2 linked regions of the Diceros bicornis minor genome follow. The protein of the gene in region 1 purifies or fractionates together with the protein of each later gene. This does not show direct contact. Links are inferred from orthologs where the notes say so. Each region holds a gene or a part of one and is shown on either strand. Other genes may lie near its edges.

Evidence for each region.
Region 2: the proteins of AP3M1 (region 1) and AP3S2 purify together in Homo sapiens (co-immunoprecipitation; 3 studies listed by BioGRID and IntAct, counting the BioPlex papers as one, with this or other methods). This does not show direct contact. The link is inferred for Diceros bicornis minor from reciprocal best matches to the Homo sapiens genes AP3M1 and AP3S2.

The regions. Positions count from the first base shown.
Region 1 is NC_080745.1:32,592,735-32,596,649, forward strand, and holds the start of AP3M1 (AP-3 complex subunit mu-1), read left to right. Parts: upstream 1-1,026; 5' UTR 1,027-1,299; intron 1,300-1,456; exon of another isoform or gene 1,457-1,986; intron 1,987-3,915. Other genes in the region: ADK (adenosine kinase), read right to left, coding at 705-769. UniProt on the Homo sapiens protein: Part of the AP-3 complex, an adaptor-related complex which is not clathrin-associated. The complex is associated with the Golgi region as well as more peripheral structures.
Region 2 is NC_080744.1:93,557,066-93,560,980, forward strand, and holds the start of AP3S2 (AP-3 complex subunit sigma-2), read right to left. Parts: upstream 2,353-3,915; 5' UTR 2,314-2,352; coding exon 2,245-2,313; intron 1-2,244. UniProt on the Homo sapiens protein: Part of the AP-3 complex, an adaptor-related complex which is not clathrin-associated. The complex is associated with the Golgi region as well as more peripheral structures.

The sequences.
Region 1 (3,915 bases):
TAGCAAACAACTTTTTACAAGTAAAAGTTGCATCATCAAGCACATGTGAGGCAGGTGTTAGGGGCAGAACTGTCCCCATTGCTGCCAAAACGTGGAAAGAAAAATCAACCTTTCCTATCCATTCAGCCAAAGACGGCCCCGGTAAAGCCTCGGAGGCCGGGTGTATGTCCCTGATAGAGGGTCTTCAAAGGTGCCAACTTTCAGAGTGTGAACGAAAAGAAAGGTCAAATCGTCCTCTTGGGACACTTGACGAAAAATCCCCGATAATTCTTTCTTTGCCTCAGCGTAGAGCAGCAGCTGGGCCTCCTCCTCGTTAACCCCCAGCGAAGAGGAGGCGGCCGCGTATGACTGCTCTGGTCCAATCTCCTCCTCTGGGGGTCACAGTACCGACAGGGAGGGCTCCCACGTGGCGCCCGCAGCCTGGCCACAGCTGGCTCGGCCTTCCCACCCCCACCCCTCGGCTGGCGTTCTGATTGGCCAAAGGCGGCCGGAGTCGCTCCAGAGCAGCGGCGATTCGGCCAAACTGGGCGGGCACCGCTTGAGGGGTCGCAGCCTTGCGGGCAGCTCCCCGAGCAGCCGGTCCTCCGTGTTGGCCCCATGCCCGCAGCGAAGGCACCACCCAGTGCCGGAGCCGCGCAACCCCACGTGGGCCCTGGTTAGCGGCAGACGCCGTCGCCCTCCACCCTACGTCGGGTAGCCCTCACCTCAGCGCTCGCGGCGCCTCCACCTTTAGCTTCTTGGGCTTCCGCTCCTCCTCAGCCGCTGCCATCTTCGCGCTCCCACCCTACTTAAGCTCCAGCCCACGCCCCACCCCTTCGACTCTCTGGCCCCGCCCCCTCCTCGCATCACCGCCTCCTTTCCTCCGAACCCCGCCCCTCCCGACTCCTCTAAGTCCGTGCCTCCCCCACCCACAGCCATTGGCTCTACCCGTCGGTTGCACCAATTGGCTAAAACATAGCCCTCCTGACCCCGCCCACCGGACAGTAGGGGGACCCCAGACTGAGTTAGGCTGCGCATGAGCGCCTGAGTCCATATGGTCAGAAATCGCCCATTCTTCTAGATTCTGGGTGATCTAGAAGATTTAGATCTTAAACATCAAGAGACATCTTTCTTCTCATTCACCGTCTTCCCGCTTGTTTAATCTTTTCAAGACTGTGGAACGAGGTGGTTTCTTTGAAGCTGTCAGTAAGGCAATCTACTGGGCACTCCACCTGCGGGGTCCTCACGGCCCTCGAAGCTTCCTCAGCCTCCGTCCGGAAAGGACCCGGCGCCGAATCACTGACAGGCCCAGGTGTTGGGGTGAGTGTGAGGGGAGGGGAGTCTGCGGACAGGGGACAGCTCGAAAACTGGGGAGTAAGCTGAGTAGCTGTGGCTCCGGATCCCAGGCTGGGCTGCAGGAGTATCTCTGGTGCTGTGGGCCGGGACCGCTCCTCCCTCCCGGCCTTCCGGGCTTCCTTGCCAGGAGGGCCGGAAGGGAGCGGTGCACCTGGAGCCCAGGGTTCTCCGGCCCCAGGCCCAAGAGGTTCAAGCTCTTTGGGGTCCCTCTCCGTGCTCTGGCTCGGGAAAAAGTCTTGTCACCCACAATGAGCTGGAGTACTGACGACTCGGACCTCAGCCCCAGGCTTTTGCTGTGGAGGACAAAACCTCTGACTGACCTGAGCGGACGTCCTGTTAGAGGGTGGCGCCTGGATGAGCCTGGGGTGGGGAATACAGTGAAGAGGGTGTTGCAGTTCTTAGAAGAGAGGTGACGGAAATCTAAACTGAGGAGGTGGCAGTGAGTATGGAAAAGTGATGAGCGATGTGGCTTGCTGGATTTGGTGGATTTGGGTTGAAGCTGAAGCTTATAGCCTACAGGTTAAGAAAGTGGTGCCACTATAAAATTGGGATATATCAAGTTTGAAACCGTGGTTTAAGTGGAGATGGTAGAAAGATTAAAAAGAAAAAAAAAAAAAAGCCTGGAAAGTAAGCCGGAAAGAAATTTTCAAGGTGAGGACCAAATCAGGTGAAGTTTCACATAATAGAGTAAGAAGTGTTCGTTTTGTTTGGGGGAAAGTTATCAGTTATGTGAAATGCTGCAAGGGTCAAAGGAGGAAGTTGAAGTCTGAAAATGGGTCGTTGGATTCGATGATTAGGAAGTCATTGGGCCACTTGAGAGAGCTGCTTTAAATAGAGTAGATTACTGAGAGGAGAGGCTGCAAGTGTAGACTTAATCCTTCTTCATTTGGAGCATGAAGCAAAAGAGTTTTGAGGGTGGCAAGGTCTCTAAAAGGTTTGGGATTTGTTTTTCTAAAGAATACAAGGCACATTATGTTTTGGTGCAGAAAACAAGTAACCAATGTATAAGATTAAAGATTCAAGAGAGATAAGACCTAGGAAAAAAGGGAAGGGAATGGGATCAAAATTACAAGTGGATTGGTTTTGGAAAGAAAGGAGGACACTTTCAGTTGAGACCATGGGAAAAGTGGAGGAATGAAGTGAGTGAAGAAGTACCTGAAATTTACATATCTTTAGTAGGAAAGCTCTCTTTACAATAAGATTAACTTTTCTTGCTGAATGTTAGGATTTTTACAATATTTCTAAACATTCAACATAATATACTATTGGAGTTCCCTGCAGACCAGATGTTTTTAAGTAGCTCTATAATATCTCAATTTATGAGTAGCAAATGATATTTGTAGAGAAAAGGAATTCTCTCTCCCTCTACAAATGTCCTTCTCTCCTATTACACAGAGATAATAGAGCCATCATCTTCCTGCAACCGAATACACAAACCTCCCCTTTTCTTTAAAGAAGAAAAAGGGTCCCTTCTTCTTAGGGAAGGCAAATCCTTTCACTTAGTCTCCCAATACCATCCTTTTCTGTCTTCTCAGGGTCCTCTTTTTTTCACTTATTCCCTCTCTCCTCCTCATTAGCCTTTCCCCCTTTACTCACACCTTTCCTTCAGTATTTAAAAATATTCTTCCTTTATGAACCACTCCCATTTACTTTCCTGTCTTTTCATCCCCTTCACAGCTAGAGTTCTTGAATATATCATCTACTCTCCGTATGTCTGTTTTTCCCACTTTCTCAGCCCACTGCAGTATATCTTGTTTCCATCATTGTACTGAACTACCACTGAAACTATTTTTACTAAGATCACCAATGTCCTCTATGTGTTAAATCATACATTCTCAGTAGGGACAAATATTGCTTGTTGTGAGGCAAAAAAATCATGCTATTTTTATGTATAAAGCACAGATATATTTACAATATGTAAAGAGATATACAGATATATATTCGGTGGTATTAAAATTTTATGGAGGAGGGGTGTGAATGAAGGGAAGTCTGACAAGTCCCCTTAGCAGGCAATAATGAAAAGAAAGTTGAAAAACACTGTTAAATCAACAGTCATTTTCAGTTCTTCTTGTAGCTTTAACTCTTTGTGCTATTTGAAATGTTTACTACTCCAATCTTCTGGTAACACACTCTAGTTACTACAAACCGTTACCCTCCCCCCTTTGTTTCTTATCCCTCTTCAGCCACATCTTCTTAGTTTTTTTATTTTTAGGCCCACTTTATGGACTCAGCTGCTACTCAAATGTTGGAGTTCCTTCCATAGGCTCTCTTCTACTATGCACATTCTCTCTTTGTAGTTTTATTCTTGTAGTTACAATTCCTCTTAACAAACAATCATGATTACTCACAAATCTATCTCCAACTTGGCTTCTCTCTGAAGCACCAGACCTATATATACAATAGCCTTTTGAATATATCCATTTGGGTCAAATATATCCAGAATTGGGGCAGATTATACAGGACCAGGGCTAAATGCCTCATTTCCCTCTCATCTCCTCCCCTTCTACCACCTAATCTTTGCGCAGGCCTAAATATTTCTCTTATCTCTTCTTCTTCTTTTTATTTTTATTTTTTTTGTGA
Region 2 (3,915 bases), on another chromosome or scaffold:
CTTTCAATCTAAAGCCTTTTATCTGACTCTAGGGGGAAGTGGCAGCAGTCACTGGGGAAGTGGTATGAAATGGTGAGGCTACCTAATTTCTAATTCAACAAAAAGGTAAACTACCAATTGCTTATATGACTCAATTATTTTAATAATCCCTCATATCTTTTAGTACTCTGCAGTTTTCAAGGTAATTTTCACTCATGAGCTAATTTGGTTCTTATAAAAATCCTATGTTCTCAAGCCAGCCCTGATGGACTAGCATTTAACATTTGGCATGCTCCACTTCGGCGGCCCAGGTTCAGTTCCCAGGAGCAGAACCATACCACTTGTCTGTCAGTAGCCACGCTGCGGCGGTGGCTCACATGGAAGAACAAGAAGAACTTACAACTATACACAGCTGTGCACTGGGGCTTTGGGGGGGGGGTGGGGATAAAAAAAGGAGGGAGACTGGCAACAGATGTTAGCTTAGGGCAACTCTTCCCCTGCAAAAAAATATAAAAATATATAAAAAAATAAAAAAAATCCTACGTTCTCCAAAGAAGATATACAAATGGCCAGTAAGGACATGAAAAGATACTTAACATCAGTAATCATTAGGGAAATGGAAATTAAAACCACAATGAGATACCACTTTACACCCACTAAAATGTCTTTAATCAAAAAGATAATAACAAATGTTGATGGGGAGGTGGAGAAATTGGAACTCTTACACATTGCTGATGGGAATGTACAATGATGCAGCCACTTTGATAAATAGTTTGGCAGTTCCTCAAAATATTCACCATAAAGTTACCACATGACCCAATAATTCTACTCCTAGGTGTATAACCAAGAGAAATGAAAACACGTCCACACAACAACTTGTATGTGAATGTGTGTAACAGCATTATACACAAGAGCCGCAGGTGAAAACATCACCTGATGAAATGTGGTATATCCATACAATGGAATGTTATCCGGCAATAAAAAGGAATGAAGAACTGATAAACGCTATGATGTGGATGAATCTTGAAAATATTATACTAGGTGAAAGAAACCAGTCGTAAAAGACCACATATTGTATGATTCCATTTATATAAAATGTCCAGAAGAGGCAAATTTAGAGAGAGAGAAAGATGAGTGGTTGCCTAGGGCTGGGGGAATTGAGGGGTAAATACACAGTGATTGCTAATGGGTAGGGGTTTCTTTTTGGGGTAATGAAAATATTCTAAAATTGATTGTGGTGATGGTTGCATAATTTTGTGAACATACTAAAAACCACTGAATTGTACACTTTAAATAGGTGAACTGTATGGTACGTGGCTTATATCTCAATAACACTTAAAAGTGAGGGAAAAAAATCACACACACAAAAATACAAATACAAACAATAGTTATATTGAATGCTAATATTTTTACCTCGATATAATTATTTAATAAAATGTAATCTAGATAAAAAAAATCTTATGAAAAAGGCAAAACTATTTTTTCATTTCTATTTGACAAAAGAGGAAATAAAGCCTGGAAGAGTTTGTTAACTTATCAATAGACCCAAAGGTAAAAAACGTGGAGCTGAGACCTAAACCTAAGTTCTCCGAGTCTTTCACCTCTGGGCTTCCACCAGTCCACCAATTATGCATGTAACATTCTGAAACCTAGCCAGAAAGAAAGAAAACGTTGAGGGGCAGGATGCAAATAACGATGTTTGCGTTTTTCCAGAAAAACGTTTTTGGAAAATTCTCGCGGCAGCATTTATAATTTCTCATCATTCCTCATTTTTAAACTGACTTCCCTCAACTCGACAGAGCGCAGGGTATCCAGTCCTGGGGCAGGCCCAGGAAACATGGAAGGGAAATAATCCCAAGAAAGCACTTTTCCAGACCCTCCGGCTAAAGCAAAAACTTTTAAGCAGCTGCATATTTCTTCCTCCTCATGGAACTGCGTTCAACACCCACCAAGACTAAAGTGACTGCAATCATTCACGTTCCCAATGAGGCACACCCCCGCCGTCACTCAGAGCGCCCTGAGACCCAAAGGGAAGTGTCACCAAACCGCACGGAAATGCCGGGTCCAGGGCGGGGTCGGGGAGGGCGGGGGCAGCAAGCCTGACACTGGCCCCGGGCCGCGGAAGGAGGTTAAGGGGTTTGAGGTCACGCAAGGGGCAGGAGCCCCAAGGGGTCACCTGCCGGGCCCGCGGGCGCCGTAGGGACCTAGGGGAAGGAAGGGGGGCGGCCGCCCCGAAGGGACGTGACGAGGCTGGGCCGCACTCACGAAACGCTGGTAGAAGCGCACTAGCCGCGGCTTCCCGTGGTTGTTGAAAACCAGAATCGCCTGAATCATCTTTGCCCGCCACGCTTCTGTCAGCACTGGCTGCTTCCGGGGAGCATCTCCTTCCGCCACAACACGGACATTTCCGGTTGGTGCGCTGCTGAGAGTGGCCCGCGGAAACTTGCCCCGGCGCCCAGGGGCCCGACCGCGAAGGGTCCGGCCTCCCTGCATGCCTTGAAGAAGGCTCTGGGGTGGGCGGCGGGCTCTCGAGGGAGGGCTTGTGCGGACACCGAGGCTGGGGAGGGTCGTCACGCGGCCAGCGTCGGCTGCCCACCCAGGGCCTGGCCAGGGCGCGAACCTGGATCTGTGCTCTTCGCACAGACCGACCGCTTGCTGCAGAATCCCGAGTCCGGCGTAAAGCCGATCCAGGAGCAGAAACCCCTGAGAGCAGCCCCGCTCCCCGGGGAGGCGGCGGAGGCCTCGCGTCCCCACAGTCTGCACTGGACCCGCGGTCCCGCCTCCGCCTTAAAGCGCGCGGAACGCTCCGCCGTGGGCGGATGCCGGCTGCTTAGCAGTCCCCTGTTGGAGAACATTAAGTTCATTTTTATTTTTCAGTATTATATACAATGCTGCAGGGAATTATATAGATGTCCTCGTGCAAAAGGGCTGTTTCTCCGTGGTAGATAGTGCATAGTGGGAATTAAGGAATATTGAATGCAATTCCATTTAAAAGGTACCAGCGATCTCAAATTGGTAGTTTTTGTTTTTTCTTGTAATGACTTAGTGGGGGTGAGGTGAAACATGTCCCTATGCTGCAGATAAAGCTGCAAATCTATCCAGAGGACTGTTTGGCAATATGTATCAAAAGCCTTTGAAATGTATAGAACATTAGACCTAGCAATTCCAGTTTTAGAATTTATAATAAAATAATTGTGGATCTGTGAAAAGATTTAGCCTCAAGAAAGTACATCTCAGCAGTGTTATTACTGGGGAAAATGGGAAGCAAACTAATTATTCCAAAATGAGAAATTGGCTAAATGCATTGTTACACATGCATACGAGAAATATTAAAGTTATTAAAAATCGTGCTGTGAAAGGCTTATACCATAGTATAGGCAAATGTTCCATGACATATCTGTAAGTGAAAAGATTATACAAAGTATGTACAGGGACACCCCACTTTGTAAAAGATTGGAAGTAGATACACCAAAATATGGATAATAATTGTGTCTGATGGAATGGCATCATAGCGTTCAGCCCAGGCCCCTGGAACCACACTGCCCTGATTCAAATCCTGGCTCTGTTCACCACCCGGGCACCTTAAGCAAGTGTCTTCATCTGTGAAACAGGCATAACATCAGTTTCCTTTACTGTAAAACTGTTTTTTTTTTGAAAAAAAAAGATTCTACTTGCCTCAGTTATAAACAAAAGGAATTAATATTTGTAAGCGCTTGGAGCAATGCACAGCATATCACTGAGTACTACATAAGTGATTTAACATACATCTTTGGGTGGTGGAGTTATATATTATTCTTTTATAAAATAAATATATATTACTCATAGCCAGAGTTTTTTAATTTTAAAAAAGCCAAAGGCAATAAAAATGCACTGAAACTTGACAAAATGTTCCAAATGTTGAGGAGGATGTCAAAGAAAATTCCAAAACAGAAGAAT